Caenorhabditis elegans: one gene and its partners. The protein of the gene in region 2 interacts with the protein of the main gene of each other region in a pairwise test. Each region holds a gene or a part of one and is shown on either strand. Other genes may lie near its edges.

What was found.
Region 1: the proteins of ubxn-1 (region 2) and gst-42 interact in a two-hybrid assay, tested with the Caenorhabditis elegans proteins (one large-scale study listed by BioGRID).
Region 3: the proteins of ubxn-1 (region 2) and dbn-1 interact in a two-hybrid assay, tested with the Caenorhabditis elegans proteins (one large-scale study listed by BioGRID).
Region 4: the proteins of ubxn-1 (region 2) and ero-1 interact in a two-hybrid assay, tested with the Caenorhabditis elegans proteins (one large-scale study listed by BioGRID).

Annotation. Positions count from the first base shown.
Region 1 is NC_003284.9:11,725,722-11,729,925, forward strand, and holds gst-42 (putative maleylacetoacetate isomerase), read right to left. Parts: upstream 2,216-4,204; 5' UTR 2,076-2,215; coding exon 2,009-2,075; intron 1,959-2,008; coding exon 1,894-1,958; intron 1,850-1,893; coding exon 1,676-1,849; intron 1,585-1,675; coding exon 1,504-1,584; intron 1,455-1,503; coding exon 1,318-1,454; intron 894-1,317; coding exon 773-893; 3' UTR 543-772; downstream 1-542. Other genes in the region: D1053.2 (Histone-lysine N-methyltransferase, H3 lysine-79 specific), read left to right, coding at 2,430-2,784, 2,839-2,945, 3,020-3,022; D1053.3 (Ras family protein), read right to left, coding at 4,142-4,204.
Region 2 is NC_003279.8:2,432,059-2,436,203, reverse strand, and holds ubxn-1 (UBX domain-containing protein 1), read right to left. Parts: upstream 2,203-4,145; 5' UTR 2,194-2,202; coding exon 1,982-2,193; intron 1,925-1,981; coding exon 1,652-1,924; intron 1,600-1,651; coding exon 1,353-1,599; intron 1,312-1,352; coding exon 1,188-1,311; intron 673-1,187; coding exon 629-672; 3' UTR 513-628; downstream 1-512. Other genes in the region: tipn-1 (Protein TIPIN homolog), read left to right, coding at 2,595-2,673, 2,725-2,792, 2,841-2,945, 2,989-3,250, 3,307-3,494; F23C8.8 (Protein kinase domain-containing protein), read left to right, coding at 3,623-3,669, 4,091-4,145. UniProt on the Caenorhabditis elegans protein: Ubiquitin-binding protein which acts as an adapter for ATPase cdc-48.1 and/or cdc-48.2, conferring substrate specificity.
Region 3 is NC_003281.10:13,758,920-13,764,079, forward strand, and holds dbn-1 (DreBriN 1/DreBriN-like (where Drebrin is from Developmentally REgulated BRaIN protein) family homolog), read right to left. Parts: upstream 3,151-5,160; coding exon 3,012-3,150; intron 2,963-3,011; coding exon 2,850-2,962; intron 2,533-2,849; coding exon 2,231-2,532; intron 2,172-2,230; coding exon 1,962-2,171; intron 1,917-1,961; coding exon 1,318-1,916; intron 1,271-1,317; coding exon 702-1,270; 3' UTR 525-701; downstream 1-524. Other genes in the region: toca-2 (Transducer of Cdc42-dependent actin assembly protein 2 homolog), read left to right, coding at 1-64, 148-322, 366-429.
Region 4 is NC_003279.8:14,662,894-14,667,456, reverse strand, and holds the start of ero-1 (Endoplasmic oxidoreductin), read right to left. Parts: upstream 3,009-4,563; 5' UTR 3,007-3,008; coding exon 2,791-3,006; intron 2,285-2,790; coding exon 1,885-2,284; intron 1-1,884. UniProt on the Caenorhabditis elegans protein: Oxidoreductase involved in disulfide bond formation in the endoplasmic reticulum. Efficiently reoxidizes pdi-1, the enzyme catalyzing protein disulfide formation, in order to allow pdi-1 to sustain additional rounds of disulfide formation.

The DNA of each region.
Region 1 (4,204 bases), on a different chromosome or scaffold from region 2:
CATAAAGACAAAAAAAGCAGAAAAGGAGCTGCGAAGAGCGAGCCAGAGATAGAGAAAATGAGAAAAGTTGGAAATTGAACTTTGCAGACCACACTGACAAAGAAAAGAGGGGGAGAATGCGGGAGGAGAAGAGTGAAAAAAACGGATACTTTGATGAATCGAAAGGCCGGCTTGTGTTGTGGGTGGCAACCAACTAGTACTATGACTATGCCAACCTCGCCCGTAAAAACACGTTCTCTTTGCACGGAAGTCTTCCGAAAGTTCTCTAAAAGTTTCCATGACACAACATTGCCGATTGGGTTTTCAGATGCTAATCCCCAGGGATTGAGTTTGGTCATGAAGAGGAGGACAAAAAAATGACTTTTGGAGGCTTCCGGTCTGCAACTGTTTAACTTGAATTTCGAAACATACTTCTAAATAGGTAAACATCAAAAATTCTGTCTTCAAAGCAGGACATTTTTTTTGAACGCAAAAAAGTTATCAGTGGAACTCGCATACTAAAAAATTTTCCATTGGATATTTCGTTTGAATAAAGTTCAAAATATTTTTAAGAAATTAATTTATTTGAAAAAAAAACACTCAGTATGAAAACGAGAAAAGTTAGTTTACAAAGTTAAAAAAAGCAACTTGCTTTAGGATATCGCGGACATTTTCTGTTGTAAATTTATTATTACTTTTGTGCTAATTTAAGAGACAAAGAAACATTTTTTTTTAATTCTCAAATAGTTAACTCTTGTATGTCCAATCCAATAACGCAATCATTCATAAGAATCTAAGCATTGAGTCCGGTATCTGGTTGATTATCAGGATGAGCGGCAATAAAGGCGGGGATATCAGCAAGAGTCTCATTGATACGATTCACTGTTGGGTATGGCGACAAATCGAGGTTGAATCTGAAATGACGGTTTGATTGCGATCGGAACGATTTGGAAGGGAGGTTATTCTGATGGTTATCTGTGAATCTCTCATGTCTCATCCTAAACGCTCATCGCTTCCAATTCATGTTTGTTGAATGACTAATACATTTTGTTTGAATCAGGAATCCGATAAAAAGGTTGTTGCCACACAAGTGGATGTTGTTTTCAATAGGAATGTGTTTTCGTTTAAATCACTTGCTAAGATGATTCAGTAACTGTCTATGAAAAATTGGTCAGTGTTGTTTGAGGGTAACCCAAAAGGTGTTCAAATTTTCGAGGTTTTGAATACGCAAAATGTCAAACTAATACATTGAAATTCTGGATAGATTACTAAAACATAATAAATTTTCTCAAAAAGTTATCTATGTCCAAAATTCCCTGACCCTCCCTATAATCATACCGGTTAGCTGAGTAGATAAGTGGCGGGATGGAGAGATCCGCAATCGTGACGTCATCTCCGACAGCATACTTCCCAGAATGTTGCTTTAGAAGAATTTCAAGAGCAGTGAGACCTTCGACAACAAACTGTTTGGCAAACTGAAATTTTAAAAATTGAAAACATACATTGAAGATTCTGAAATTAAACCTGTCCTCCGAATCCTGCTTCTTTTTTATTCAAAAGTTGAAGAACCTTCAAATTGTGAAGAGGTTGAATTCCAGAAGCAACCTGTAAACCTCAAAACATAATTGTTACAGTTTTTGTAAAACAATAGCAGTATAAAGTTAAGAAAAAAACCAACTAAATACGTAAAACTTACCAAAAGAGAAATAGCTCTAGCGTGAGCTCTCTTGATTGGATCTTTTGGCAAAAGTGGAACGTCTGGATGCGTTTCTTCCAAATACTCAATAATCGCAAGACTTTCAGTAATTACTTGACCATCCACAACAAATGTTGGTACTTTTGCAGCTGGGTTGATTTCTTTCAGTTTGCTCTAAATTTTAAAATAATTTAAAGAACCGCTTGATTTTCTCTTACCTTAGCCTCTTCGGACAGCAAGTCGACAGTTTTGTATTCGTAGTCCACGTTTTTCAAAGCAAGCGCTGAAAATAACATTTTTGCTAGTTAAAATTGATATAATTAAAATACCAACCGATGCGAACTCTCCATGAGCACGATGATCTCCAATAAGAATACAGAACTGGCTTTTGGTTGGACATGTCTACAAGCAGAAAATAATTTTGTAAATTCTCAGAAAGAATAACTGATGATAATGACTAGTTGAAAAATAAACAAAAAGGGTCAAAGACGGAATGATGTCGAACTAACTGATAAGATTGGACGGTGTATGTCGACGAAATGGTTTTGTTGTTGTATATTGCAGACGCAGAACACTAGAGATAGTGTAATTGTGCAGACACACGTGGTCTTCTACTATACATTACCAACATCATATGTAGACCAAGAGAGAAATGCAGATTCAAAAAACATTAGAAGGAATAAGAAGAAGTAGACAAAACTATGGTAAGCCTTGGGCGATGCCTTGAGAGAACAAGCAGCCCACGACTTTTTTTATGAGGCTGCTCCCAACTCTTGCCCAAGCTGTACCCAAGTCATTTTTTCAAAGACAATATAAAAATACACAGTGCACTTTGATGTGCTTAAATGAAATTGAGAGCATCCAGGAACTATTTTTCAATTTAAACGACGTTGAGACACGTTCATTAAAAGCATATCTGGTGGATCGTATTAATGAGATCCAGACCCAAGCCACGGTGATTGTGGTGAACAACGTTCGTTTTTCGCCGGAGCTCAAGTTGGAGCTGAAAGAGATCTTGTCGAAATGCATTGACGGAACGCGGATCATTTCATCAGAGTCGATTGTTCCACGTCCCCGTTCTCAAAGCTCGACTTCTCGTCGTATCGATGGTAAGTTGAAACTAGGTGTTAGGTACATCAAAATACTAATTATATCTTTTTCAGATTTTGTGAAAATCACGGACGAGCGTCTTCTTCATCTTGTGGAAAACAATACGTCTTGGACTGGTGACAAAGTTCCGTTTTATCTCACTGAGATCAACCGCAATAAGGTAAGTTCGTGAATATGAGAAATATTTGCGGTTATGGGTTAAAATCAGAACTAATATTAATTAACTTTTTACAGTGATCGTCGACGCCCTTTCTTCTTCCCAACTCCTCTCTCATCAACGTGTCTTCGTGCTCGGGTCAACTTCTGATTTTCCGGTGTATTTTCTATTTAAGATCTCCCCTTCACTCCCTATAGATCTTTCATCTCCTTTGTTTTCCCCTCAGTCTCTTCTCAGTGCGTCAATGTAGCACGTTTATGATTTAAAAAACCAACTTCTTGCAATCTGTACTATCACTCAAGTTGGTCCAATAAATTGTTGTTTTTAAATCAACCGTCCTATTTATAAAACGTTTCAAAATGTCCTTCCATGTTAGTCTGTCCGTTCTCTGCTGTCCTCGCAAGTCTCTGAATCCCTCGTCGTTGTGATCCTAAAATCCGTCATCGATTTGTCCATTGAGTATTCTCAAAAAAGTTCCCATCAACGACATTTCTATTTCTGACCTGAATCAGTCGAAACGCAAGAGAGGTAAAGATCAGTCGACTAGGGATTGGGATGAAGCTGGTTCTAAAAACTGGTCTTTTGATAATCTGTCATTTTTCAGTGATCAATCCTATGTCATCCGTCTGGCTGCTTCAACAATGTCTACGCTGTAACTTCACAGTATACAACAAACTCTTGAAAAAAGTATGTTCCATTAGGTTATTCATTAGTTGGTATTGAGCTTTTCTTCTAATTGGACTGTAAAGTAATATGCAAAAAGTGATTAATGGATTTTTTTAGTCTTGTAAAATATTAATACAGTGAACTACCGCGCAAAATTTTACACATTTCAAGCATCGAAATGCTATTTTCAAATTGTTTTTGAATCCCTCTTTTAGTTAAGATTTCATCCAAAAATGTAATAGTGGAGAAAATGTTTATTTACAAATTATTTATTCCAATCTCAAAAATTAATAAAACACAAATACACAAACTACTGTTATAAAATCCAATTATCATCAATATCACAAGTTCACTGGAAACATACATTTCAAAATTACCGGGAGGTTCGGGGAGCTGACTAGAACTGAAAAGTTCACCAAGAAAAGAAACATTAAAATTTAAGTACAGTTGTGTTTCAGTAATTTTTCCATAATACGAAACAATGCATTATCTATTCCCATTTGAGATCAAACGACATTCCATATTTCCTCACATTACATTATGATGCACACTTTTGAATCTTCAACTTTCTCTCCTTTTTCTTTTTTACCATTTTT
Region 2 (4,145 bases):
ACTCAAAACAGGATTCACCAAAACAGGATGCAAGGGCGGAGCCTATTTCGCAACAACCGCGCATGCTTTTCCCGCAAGCCTCGCACGTTTTTTCCTTGATGTTGTTGCATTTTTTAAAGAGAAAAAACGTGCGAGGCTTGCGGAAAAAGCATGCGGTGGTTGCGAAATAGGCTCCGCCCCTGTATCCTGTTTTGAGTTGCATTCCGTTTTGGTGGGGCCTCTTAAATTAAATCGAAAAGAAAATCTGAGCCCGTAAATCGACCTACAGTAATCATTTAAAGAATTACTGCAGTTTTCGCTGCGAGATATTTTGCGCGTCAAATATGTTGTGCAGTACGCAGGTTTTTATTCCAATATCTTCCAGGTTCTAATGCTTCCAATCACTCTGGAGATATGATTGTCCTGCAGCTTGTCAGAAATCTGTGGCAAGAGCTCGGAGAGCAAAACTGACGGGAATTCGAAGATCACGAGGAGATGAAGAGCCTCGAGATATATGGAGGGGAAAAAAGTTTATCGGAAAATTTTTATACATGCTCAATATACATGTTTAGTTTACAAGTGATACCAGCATTCGGGAGAGGGGGGAGAGAAAATTAGCAGTAAATTGTGGGAATTTAGTTTTGAAGATTCAGGCGGCACGGTTGAGAATGACGTTGGCGGATGGTACCAAATCTGAAAATTTTAAAAAAAAATTAGAGAATGAACATTTTTTTGGTCTCAAAAAACCAAAATTCATAACGAAACTTTTCAAATTTTTATTTATTTTTTTCGAAAAAATGGCCCAATTACAGCAGAAATCTATATATTTTAGCGTTTTTTTCGTTGATTTAGGCACATTTAAAGTCAAATTGCACCATACTGCTCCAATATTTAAAAATTAGTGTCAAAATATAGAAAATCAGTTGATTTTTCTGAAAATAATACTTAATTTAACTGAAAAATTCGAAAGTGCTCAAAAATTGCCTTACAATTGACAATTCGTGACTTCTAGGCCATTTTTGAGCACTTTTTCAGATTCTTCAGTTAAATTGAGTCTTTTTGCTGAAGAAGGACAAAAATCGAATAAAAATAAATTTCCGGCAGCTGTGAACAGGAAAAGTTGGCGAAATAGCTGAAAATCGTCCACTTTTTTTTTCGAAAATTTCCAAGTTTCATCATGAAATCCGGCCTTTTTGAGCAAAACTCACTGAGAACTTTGAGCGGTGTTCCCATATCATCCTCGGTGAACACTTTGCGGGGGAATGGGGTCATCAGGGTGAACGGAACACCGTTTGCGTGATTAGTTTCGACCCAGGCGCGGACCATTGCGAGCTGAAAAATTAATTCAAGGGAGTCGAGAATATTTAAATTACCGGCTCATTAGCTTCAAACTGTTGTCTAACAGTTTGTCCATCGAGAAGTCGGAATTGAAGAGTTGTAGTTGAGTAGTCTTTTGGCGGAGCAACTGGAGCTGCAGACGGAGCAGGCTTTGCCTCTGGAACCGGTTGGCCTGAAGCTTTTGCCTTACGGGCTTCCTTGTCAAGCCGGATTTGCTCGAGAACTCGTTTTCTGGCGATTTCGTCTTCGTTCTTTTCGCGGCGACGATCTTGAGCGGCTTCTCTGCAAATTGGGAATATTATTATTTAAATTCAATGGAAAACAGTTTTCTAACCGAATTTCACGATCTCTGGCGGCTTCTTTATGGCTGATCATGGCTTTTCCATCCTCACGACGCTTTTTCTCCTTCTCACGATTCTCTTCGGCCTCGAGCTTTGCCTTTTTGGCCTGATGGACTTTGATTTTTTCTCGGATTTCCAGGACTTTTGCGGCCTTTTCCTCTGCAGTGAGAGGCTTGATAGCTTCCGAGCTTTCGCTGAAATTCTCGTGCTTTGTCTTCGAAGCGTGGAACATGATAGCATCATCGTTGGCGAGAAGCTTTCCGCAGCTGGAAAAAAAAATTTGGAGAAATAATTAATAAGAATCGTAGGGGGGAAAAACTCACTCATCACACTTAAAACTGGCGGCTACCGGGGGTGCACCACTGTCAGCGGCTCCTGGAGCAGCTTGAGCTGGAGCATCTGTCTCCATTGGTACACCGGCTCCGTCCTTCTCAATCCAATCCAACGCCTGATCGAGATTTCTGTTGTTTCCGGCGGCGGCCTCGGCTTTGTCGGCTGGGAAGCCCATATCCATGAGTTGTTGGGCGATCGACATTGTTATTCTGGAAAGAAATGCGACAATTTGGCGAAAAACTAGATTTTTTCTCATTTTCCAGAAGAATTTTGGGATTTTTTACGAAATAAGCTGTTCAAAACAGTGATATATTAACAATAAAGTGGTTTAATTAATAAAAAACCTTAAGAAATGCGTTTAAATCAGAAAATTCAGATAATAAATGGACTGGAACACTTTTTCTAGCCAAGAACACAAAGAGAATGCTGACTTTCTTTAAAGGCGCACGCATTTAATCGATCGGGTCTCGACGCGATTCAGCCGATTTTGTCGGCGCGTTGTTTGAAAATAGTTTTTTAAACGCTAAGATTTTTGCATTTTTTTTCGTTTTCTGCACGAAAACCTAGAAATTTCGATCGAAAATCAACTTTTTTTCCAGAAAAATGGACGAAATGGAAGATTTCTTCGAAAATGATGAATTGGATCGAGAGCCAAGCCCTATGGGAGACGAAGCAATCGAAGGTATCTAGAATTTCGTGTGAGAAATCGGGTTTTAATTAAAGTTTTGTTCAGATAACAGCGGCGAGGGAGGCACTAGACGAGTCGTGGAGCCGAAATTGTTAAGGACTAAAAGACTAGCAGTAAAACGCTTATTTTCTATGATTTATTTAAATTTTTTCAAACTTTAGAATCCACGCCTAGCACTGAATGAGCGAATTTTGACCGGGCCGAAAGGAATTTCAGCTCTTCGGGAGACTTTAAAAGATTTCAAGCCAAATCCCAAGGATGATCCGGTAAATTTGAAAGTTAAAAAATACAATAATTTTCCCTTTTCAGTACGCAAATCTGGAGAAATTGATGAAAAAATACGCATACTGGGGACATTTGATGTTTCCGAAGATGAAAACCGAAGATGTTCTGAATCGAGTCGAGACACTGGGAACACGGCGGCAGGTTAAAGTTTTCATGATCAAGCACCGGCTTGGAGAGACTGGCGAGGATTCTGAGCACGAGGAGCAGGAGAATCAAAAGAATGGAATTATTGATGATGGAGCGAGTGATAATGACGATGATTTATTCAAGGATTTACCAGAGAAAGGTTGCAAAATTTATCCAAACTTGTTATTAGAAAATCAAAAAATCTTTCAATTTCAGAAGTCACGACTGAAAAAGCTAAAAATTCTGAAAAATCCGACCAAAAAACCGCTGAAATTGATGAAAATGTCGAGGAAGAGTATCGAATGATGGAGGAAGAGCGGCTGCGAGAGGAACAGGAAGCCAAGGAAGCTGCTGACGAAGATGCTCTTATGGAAGATTTCGGTGATATGAATAACGATTGGTGATAGAGCAATTAATTTTTTTTAATTTCACGTGTATTTTATATTTTTATGAACTTTTCTTTGTTCTCGAATTTTCCAAAGCGTGAGACCTTTTTTTTATCGAATAAAACTACATTCCTTATTGTTATGACATGTCAACGCCAACACTCTCTCCGTCTACAGAAAAGTTGATTCCGATGTGAGTTTCTGGAGGTCAAAAATTCGAGTTTTTCTTGATTTTCGCCGTTTTTCCAACGAATATTCTCAAAATATTGGAATTCCGCGGAAGAAAAATCAGGAAAAATTGCGAAATCGGCAAAAATTTCCACCGTACCCCTTTAAAAGCGCACGGCTCGCTTTAAAAAGTAACAATCGTGCCAGGACCTTTGAGTGAAATGAGGAGTGCGCCTTTAAGAAAGTACGGTCTTTTTCAGATTATTTCGCAATTTTTCCGGGTTTCCTGTTATTTTTCGAAAGAGAATCGAAATTTAATTAGAAAATCTGATTGTGAAATTGATTGCAAAAGACACAGTAATCGCCTAAAGGCGCATGGGCTTTCTGCTCCCTCAGAAAAACTTTACAGGCCTAGTTTGAGACTAAAAACCTTTGAATTTCTGTAGAATTGGACTAAGCGTGTCTGGAACATTCTCACCTCGTCCAATTGCCACCACCGCT
Region 3 (5,160 bases), on a different chromosome or scaffold from region 2:
CCGACGCCACTACGACGAAGAGCCGAAATCTCATCACCAAAGATTCTCAGATCCTCATTTTCAGGTTAAATTAAAAATCCATTTTTTTCCTTTTAAAAGCTTTTATAAAAGAAAAAATAGTTAAATATAAGTATAAATTTTTTGCAGGTGCCATTCGCAAATCTTTATCGACTCCCGATTCAGTTAAAGTCGAGACAGCGGTTACGGTAACCGCACTGTTCGAATTTGCCAAATCCTCCGCGGAGACCATGTCCATCGAGCAGGGCGAAATTCTTCTCGTACTCGAACACGATCACGGAGATGGATGGACTCGAACCAAAAAGTAATACAAGTAACAAAGAATTACCAAGTAAATAAAATGAAAGTTGCAGGAAACACAACGAAGAGTCAGGATTCGTGCCAACTTCGTATTTGCAATTCCCCCAGTGATTTCATAAATTAAATAGCATTATCATCATCAATATTGTACTCGAGACTGCGCTTATTATCGTCCTGTGAATGAAATAATTGATTATAAAAACAGATTCTTCGATTTTCGATTCATATTGCCATTTACGGAGAAAATGCACATAAAAAGTAATGGTATAATAAATTACAGGAAGTGGGAGAATGGGAGGCACCGCGGATTGTTGAGTTTAAAATGGGAAAAAAACATTGCACAATAAATTAGTAAAAAAGAACGGTTAGGCTATCTAGACAAATTAAATCAGCTTCACATAATTAGCGGGAAAAAGGCCTACGCGGCCGCTGGGCGCACGTCCTTTCCACCATCCGCTATCGACTTGATCGATATCTGTGATAATGTCATCAGGATCAAATGAGATCTCCGTGTCATCTGCAGCCTGGTAGTCCCAGAGAGCCATCGCGTTCTGCTCGGCGACCGCCGGCGGGAAATCGTACTGATCAATTGGTGGAGCAGCGACTTTTATTGGCGAGGATTTCGGTGCAAACACGGGCTCCTCTGGCATCACTGGAGGCATGTCATACTGTGAGGCGATGTGAGCTGGCAGTTGAGAGCTCGATGAGTGAGAGTCGATCGGCTCCGGCGGAGCATCATACTGAGACGCATAGTGGGAAGGAGCTGAAACTGGAGGTACAGCTGGTTCGAAAGACTCGTGAACCGGTGGAGCATCGTACTGGGAGGCGTAATGCGATGGAGCTGGAGTTGGCTCAGGTGGAGGTGGAGCAATGACCGGGGTTGGAGCAAGGAATGTAGGTGGAGCTGGCTCTGCTGGTGGCTCTTCGTATGCATCGTAAGAGACGGCAGGTTCTGAAAATATTCAAATTAGGACTAATAAACTTTATACGAAAACTGACTCATAGCCTCGGGCTTGTAAACCATTGGCTCTGGCTCATAAGCTATTGGCTTTGGCGTATACGTCGAAGGCTCATCTGGCTCAGTGAGTCGGTTAACGGGTTCACGGGGCGGAGAGGTCGTGCCAACTGGCGGCCACTTCTTAGGCGATCCATTCACTTGAGGCTTCGGAAGCACTGGACCGGAAGGTTTTGAGCTGAATAATTCTTTTCTGCTTCCAACGAGACCTGCGCTCGGAGTGGGGGCGGGAGCTGGAGCTGGATTCACCGAAGATGGCACGGGCTTATCACTAATTTGAGCCTTCCCGTGAAGATCATCCGCAATCCGTTTTCGATCCGTCTCGAATTCCTTCTGCTTCTGGGCCTGTGCCTCTTTTTCCTCCGCTTGCCGCCGCTGCTCCTCCTCGTTCATCTTGCTCCAGAACTCTTCGCGAGCTGATGAACTGATCTCCACGTGCGGTTTTGTTGGCTTGTACACCGATGTGACCTTATCCGGTTGATAGTTTTCTGTTTTGGAGTGAATTTCCGAGGCCATTCGCTGTCGATCCGCTTCGAACTGCTTGTGTGCTTGTTCACGAGCGGTTTTTTCTTCTTCTTGACGCCTAAAATTGCGAATTCTATTTCAATAAATTACTCAAAACACCCACAGCTTCTCCTCCTCGTTCATCTTGCTCCAAAACTCCTCCCGTTTGACCGTCTTCAGCTCAACGTGGGGCTTCGTCGGCTTGTACACCGAGTTAACCTTCTCCGGCTGGAAATCTTCGGCTTTTGTGTGAATTGCCGCGGCCGTGCGATCACGGTCAGCTTCATACTGCTTTTGCTGTTTCGCATGAGCCACTTTCTCGTCGGCTTGTCGTCTGAAACTTCTTAGAGGTGATTACTTGATTTTCAGGACACGATTTCATGTAGACAGTACCTCTTCTCCTCTTGATTTGTTGTGCTCCAGAAGTTCTCGCGAGCCTCCGAGCTGAGCTCCGAGTGTGCATTCGTCGGCTGGTACACCGAATTCACCTTCTCCGGCATGCTGTACGTGGATTCGACGATGGCGTTGGCGTTCGCCGCCGGGAGCTTTCGCACCTCTTTTCGAATCGCGTCCGGCTCGATGTCGATTTCCGATCTGGCATGGAGCACAATGTGAACTGTTTTCAAGAATCTACGGAACTCTTCAGCGTGCGGTGTCGTTGAGGCCAAACGCAGTGTGGGGACTCCTTCGCCTTGCTGCAATATTCAAACATTAAAATGGTTTTTTTCCTGGAACTTCGTGTTTAAAAGTATACAAATCTCGATACATCTCTAAAAATATTTGAAACCATAACTGACAAAGAATTTTTGGAAAAAACTACAGTTTTTGTTTTACAAATGGATTTTTAAAAAAAATTTTCAGCAAAAAATCTCACAATAGCGTTATCTTTTGAGAGGAACATGGAATGCAAGCAAATTGACATGATTTTTGTTAATATTCAACTTTTAAGACCTAGTAATCACGAATTTTTTCGATTTTCGTTTTCCTTTCAATTTAGCCGTAAACTCCATACCCAATGCACCAAAACGATTTTCGGGAAGACATCACTGCTCAGTCGCACCGAAATCACACCAAACTGGAGCTTTCCCGAGCTGAAACTGTCGGCGAACTCCTCAAGACCACCAGCTGAAATAAATAGATTTTTAGGAGGGAAAGCAACGAAATCTGAACTTACTTCCTTCTTCTTTGACTCGTAATGTGTTCGAATTTCCTTCATAATCGAAAATCACCCATTTATCGCCATCTGAGTCATCACTGGCACGCCGATACGACGCTTCAATCTCCTTGCCGTGTGCATGATAGTTGAGAGTCATCTGGAACACATACAATATAGGGTTCGACGACCTATATTGTAATTATTAAGCTAAAATCGAGGGAAAATTGTAATAGTGACGCGATAAAAAGCCTCCGAATGGTCTCCTTATCATTTTTTTATTTTCTTTCTACGCAGAACTTATTTCTCTATGGTACTCCATTAATCACACTATGTTTCGCAACATATGGCAAATTTGCCACAAAGGTGTGCATTTTTCTCGATTTGATCGAGTCACGAGGTAATTTTCAATTAAGGCCGAGAAATTTATGGGTTAATATAAAGAATCTCAAGTAAAAAATCGTTTAAAAGACCATTTTCGGTAGTTGACCAGGAAATGAGAGAACGGAACGGGCGTAGCCGCCAGCAAACATCTCTCGTTCCCGCGCCAGCGGTAGGCAGAGACCCTCCAGAAAACTAAAGAAATGTCTCGAGAGATGTTTTTTTTTTCCGGTAGGCGAGATTGAATTGGAATCAAAGCTTAATCTTCTCGCGGTCGAGTCTCCGCGTGCGTGTCTCACACATTTTTGCATGAAAAACTCCGGATTCTATGGTCTGATCGTTGCGATTAAAAATGGAAAACTAATAGGCTGACCGACAAAAATTTGCGAAAATACCCAATTATTTTCAATGCAAAGATACAAAATTTGATGGAAAAGAGAAACAAATAAACTTTCAGAAATCAGGTTAAAAGAGGATGGGTCTCGCCACGAATAGATTTTTAAAGTCATGTGCCTTTGAAGTTACGGTAGTTGAGCGGCTTCAAATTTATTATTTTTAATTATGGCAATATTTTCACTTTCTGGTTAATTTTAAGCGAAAAATTGAGTTTGGAGGAAATTTGTTTCGTTTCAAATTATTTAAATTGTTTTGAAACAGAAAAAACTAAAGCTGTAATTCATCGCTTAAAATTTTATATTTACAGATATTTCTGATCTAAAAAAAACAGAAGAAAGAATATTCAAATGTTCAAGAAAGAATGTCAACAGTACTGCTAGAAATTCAAAAAATAAATCTAAAATTTGGAGCGTTTGAAGGTGGTTTAAGCTTTCATGAAAACATTTTAAACGATCTGCAGGTTAAAATCTAAATAAAAATAGGTTTTCACATTGAAAAACGGCATAGATGATTAATTTCAACACATTTTTTAGATTTTCTACATATGTACTCATCTATTTGAAAACGAAATTGAAAGGGATAGAAAACATATTAATAACACTAATCAAAAAGAAACATTGGCCCCAAGATGTGTGTGAGTCACTTTTGATTGTGTTTGTGTGTGTTGGGCCAGTTCAGGGCGGCAGTAAGATAGTAAGGGAAATAGTGAGGCTGTCCGTTAAGACGCAGCAGTTCAGAGCGCTCAGTGGAACATACGACCGCCCTTAATGGCTGTCGTCTCTCACTCGTATGAAGTCGGACACAAGAAGTATGTAGTAGTAGTGGTATATTTAATTGTTCGTGTGTGTAGGTCTTTACTAAAAACTTTTCCTTCTAGGTGACCCTAAATCTCTTCGCTTTTCATACTGTCTCACAGTCAAAGGGTTAAAGCAGTAAATTTTGGGATTTTCTGCAGAATGACTAATCTCTTGATGACTTCTCTACTTGCGACTGTTTGTTTGCGCATTTGTGAACTGAGTCATTCTGATCATTTTTGGGGGAATGAATTGTTCCATCAGGTTGATTAAAAAATAGTTGGTGAATCGAAATTTCAAAAAAAAATTGAGGCAGGATGTTTCGCGCGCTGGGTAGAGAAAAACGATATTTACATAAAATGAACAAAGTGAAAACATAGAATCTCTTCCTCTTGGCTGTCCGAAAAGCAAACAGAAACCGTGTGTTAGGGCAAAAATACAGAGAAAAAGCCATTCGACACACTTCTCTCTCTTCCTCCTGACTCAGTCACCAGTGCTCACAGCGTGCATTTGCTCTTTCCGAGAGAGAAAATCTTCTCAATACATCCGGAAACCTTGGAAGAACAACAAAAAGTAGAAAATATTGATAAAGACATTTG
Region 4 (4,563 bases), about 12 Mb from region 2:
ACACAATACAACTACAGTAACCCAACAGTGTCCCTCCACGTAGTAAAAATACGTCCGTAACAAAAGAGTAAAACGTAGTAAAACATCCACGTAGTAAAAGATGAGGTAGTAAAAAAGTACTTTCCGTAGTAAAAGATCTATGTGGTCAAATCGTAGTAAAAGATATCAAGTAGTAAAAGAGCTAACTGTAGTAAAAGATCAAGTAGTAAAACAGTATTTTCCCTTGTGGTATAATGAATCACGATACATGCATTTGCGAATGAAAATTCATGTGATACATTAATGCATCGTCACTAATAGATATAACGTACTTTAACGTACTTCCCCTATTAGTATTGCACGTATAGAGGAGTAAAAAGGAAATAAGCTATTAAATGTCGGATGAAAACACTAGATGCCAATACATAAATCGAATGAACTATCATAGTTATAATTATCATACGTTCAATTTATGAAACAATAGCCGAATATCATTCAAACTATGTCATTAAAAAATCACCTACATGGTAATTATCTGAAACAGTACATATGACTCTCGTATTATATAAAAGGAAATACAACACTTGTTGTATAATGAATATATTATTACATTGTCACTAATAGATTTACCGTGCTTCCCATATTAGCATCGCACCCAATTTATCGTTGCCTTTTGTTATATCCAAAAAAATATCTCAATTTCTTCTTATATAGTTTTGTAAATAGTTAATAATTTTTTAAAAAATCTATAGTGAATCATGTATTGTCACAGTGAAGTATAGTGGTGCAATATTACTAATACATACTATATAGGACGATAGTAGAGATTTTGAAAATATACGTTAATTTAACACAAGTCAAGCATAAAAGAATATCGTATGCATCTCAATTGTTCAATACTTGACATATAAGCTCTCGTATTATATACATAAAAAAATGTGCTAAAAAAAAGAATCGTCACTAATAAATTTACCGTAGATGCTAATTCATAAAATTATGTCGTAAACTATTATTGTTATAATTATTATACGTTAAATTTCTGAAACAAGAGCCGAATATCATTAAAGCTATTTATCTCATAAAGTCAGGTATAAAAGAATATTGTCTACATCTTATATACTTGTTCAATACATTGTGAGGCTACGACTTACCAGAAAAGAATATTCGTTAATAAATTTGATCCTAAATTGTGATATCGAAAAAGTTCGTTAAATTATAACATGCATGTGAGACATTTTGAAAAAAAAACAATGCACACTAGTCTAGATTAAAAATTTCAAAAACTTGAAACAACATTTAGCAATACTAACAATTGTATTAGTTACCGTATATCCTCTATTAGTTTTGCACCCCTTTTGTCAACTTTGGCAGCTCATATCTCAGTAGTCGTTTGTTCTATGGAAATGTTGTCAACTGATAAAATATTTGTTAGATATTTTTCTATAGTATTTAGTTTGTTAATTATTATTCATATGTTCAAAACAAAAAATGAGTAATGAGCTGTCAAAGTTGAGCAAAGGGGTGCAAAACTAATAGAGGATATACGGTAGTATATTGTTCCAAGCAATTCCCCATGATTTTTGGCAAATTGTGTATATTTTGGTAACACGCTCATAATTAAAATTAACCATGCTTCCCTTTTTCATTCATTATCCCGATTTCCTATAAATACACGTCAGCATAGCAAATGGAATTCTTACGAAATCCTCAAGGAATTGGGAAATTTGAAATTTAATGCAACGTGGCAATATTGAGTAAATTTAAACGATTTGATAATGAACGTTTTAACACATATCTAATCCAATAATTAAAACAACGCTCATATTACAAGCTAGCTACACTAACGTTTTAACGCAGCAATATAAAATTTTTCATGGCAAATATTCCAAATTTCAAAAGATGTACCTTCAATTTCACAGAATTTGTCCTCCAGTCCATCATCATGATGATCCATCGCATCCAATTGTCGTTTCTCATCATCATGAAGTGTTCTATCCATTGGATCAATATTATTTCCAGCATCTGCACACTTTTCAGCATCATCATCTTCTTCCTCTTTCACAGCAGCAGCCTCCTGAACAATTACCCCAATTTTCGTTGTCTCATTCCAGCGTTGTTGGCGGTTGTTGTTATGATTTTCTGATATTTCATGACTACTCTCATGAGAGCTTCTGCGTACCATATTCACTGCATTTCGTCGTCGAAGTCCCGCGGGAACCTCATCATCACAGAATGCGATTCCGCATTGATTTGTGCCACATTGTCGATCGTCTGCCCAGAATGGGCATGTTTTATCCATATTTACCTGAAAAATTCGAGTTTTTAAGGGGGAATTGGTGGTTTATTGCTATTTGTGGTTGAGGCTTACACTACAAACTACAATATATTTAAGCCTCAACCAATTTTTTGCTGAAAAAGTTTAAATCCTATGAAAAAACCGCCGTTTTTATTCAATATATACGTTACAAATTACTAATTTTCATTGAAAAAAAAAACGATTTTCGACGAAATTTAAATTGGTTGAGGCTCAGGCTACAAACTACAATTCTGGTAGCCTCACTCAAGCGATTTTTTATGAAAATTCGACGATTTTAATGCGAACAAAATATTGTTTTGTGAAAATTTGCGAATTTAGTTGAAAATAAGCTTTTACATCGAAAATTGTGTGCAAAATGATTTTACAAAATCGATTTTTTGCAAAACTCAATTTGGTTGAGGCCCAGGCTACAAACTACAATTCTTGTAGCCTCACTCAAGCGATTTTCTCAATTTTTAACGATTTCTCTCCCGAATTTCCCAAAAAATCCTCACCTTATAAAACCGGAAGAAATCCTTTTTGAGCAACTTCTGTACTTTCTCATAAATTCGATGATTATTCAATTTATCAATAGTCTGAGGTTTCGAGCAATCACATGGCTCAACCGCTTCGAACCCTTTACAGAAACATAGACGACCCGATTCGAATTGTGTATTGACGACGATGATTATTAGTGATAGAACTATTAATTGGAGTAATGGTTCTCTCATCACTGTAAGAAATTCCGAAATAAATTGCCTTTTGTTAATTTATTTTGAATTTTTTGAGACGGAATTCGAGTTGGAAAACTTTTAAAAAAATTATCGAGGACAAATACACGTTGCTTAAGAAATTATTTTGACCAAAAAGTGCATAAACAATAAATTTTCCGAATTTGCAGCTTAAAAGTACTTGAAGCCTGCAGAAAAGGAACAAAAACACGCGCCAAAAATTAATTTTCAGAAAAAATCGAATATTGAAGAAATTTGATTTGAAGAAAAATAAGAAAAAAAATTCGCCTCAGTTTTTATATTTTTAAGATAATAGAAATTATGAAAAATGAATTAAAAATGTTGGTTGAGGCCCAAACACTACAAACTACAAGGTTTTCGGTGGTTGAGGCTGAAAATCTTGTAGTTTGTAGTGTGAGCCTCAACCAAAATTTTATCTTCTTCTGAATTTTAATACTATTTTAAGTGATTTTTGTGATAATTAAACTAAAATTTGGAATAATTTCGCATAAAAATCAGTAAAATTCCGACTTTGAAGCTTAAAATTTCAATAAAACGTCGCTAAAAACCAAAAACAAACGCAAAAAAATTAATTTTTAGAAATAGTATCTTTTTTGATATTTTTAAGATTATGGAAATTACGAAAAATGACAAAAAATCTAGTGAAAATCCGCAAAAAATGAGGATTTCAGCATAAAAAACTACAAACTACAAAGTTTTCGGTGATTGAGGCTAAAAATCTTGTAGTTTGTAGTGTGAGCCTCAACCGCACCGTCAAATTGATTTCTTGAAAAGTTGAATTTTTGAGCTTCAAAAGTGAATTTCAGATGATTTTTAGACGAAATTTCGATCTAATTCAACTTTAAAGCATAAAAATCAGTGAAAATTTCGATTTTTAAGCTTTAAAATCTAATAAAACGTCACAAAAAACCAAAAACAAGCGCAGAAACATCATATATAAATACATCGAACAAAAATCCATCGCCGGCAGGGGGAGAGAGAGAGAGATTCTCGAATCGGATAGGGAACAGAAACAGTCCGAATATATTCGGGAAGACCGAGAGAGAGAGACGGAGACATTTCTGTGCGAAACAACAAGGCCGTTTCTCCGGTATTTCCGACAAGCCGCTCGGCGGGGGAGGAGCTTTTCCGTCATAAAATGCCGGAAACCGGAATATTGAGCAAGGCGAAAATAAAACAGAAATAAATAAATCAAACCTCAATGTTTTTTTCTTTTTTTTTCGATTATATCAGAAAATCAATCACAACAACCGCTGAAACGCTGAATATATTAAATTAAATTTTTTTAAAACCTTTTTTTTATTTTTAATTTTTTCGATTACAAAACACTTCAAACTCCTAAAATTCAGTTCAAAAAATCAAAAAAAAAGTACAGAACATACACAGAGCCGTCGCCAAGGTAGTCGCAATGCAAACATGCTCCACGGAGAAAGTAACAATACGTTGCGTTATTGCACAAAGCGACGCGAATTGATATCAAATAATGGAAAAAAGGGGGTGAAAAAATTTGATTTTTTTATGAATAGGTGGTGAGAG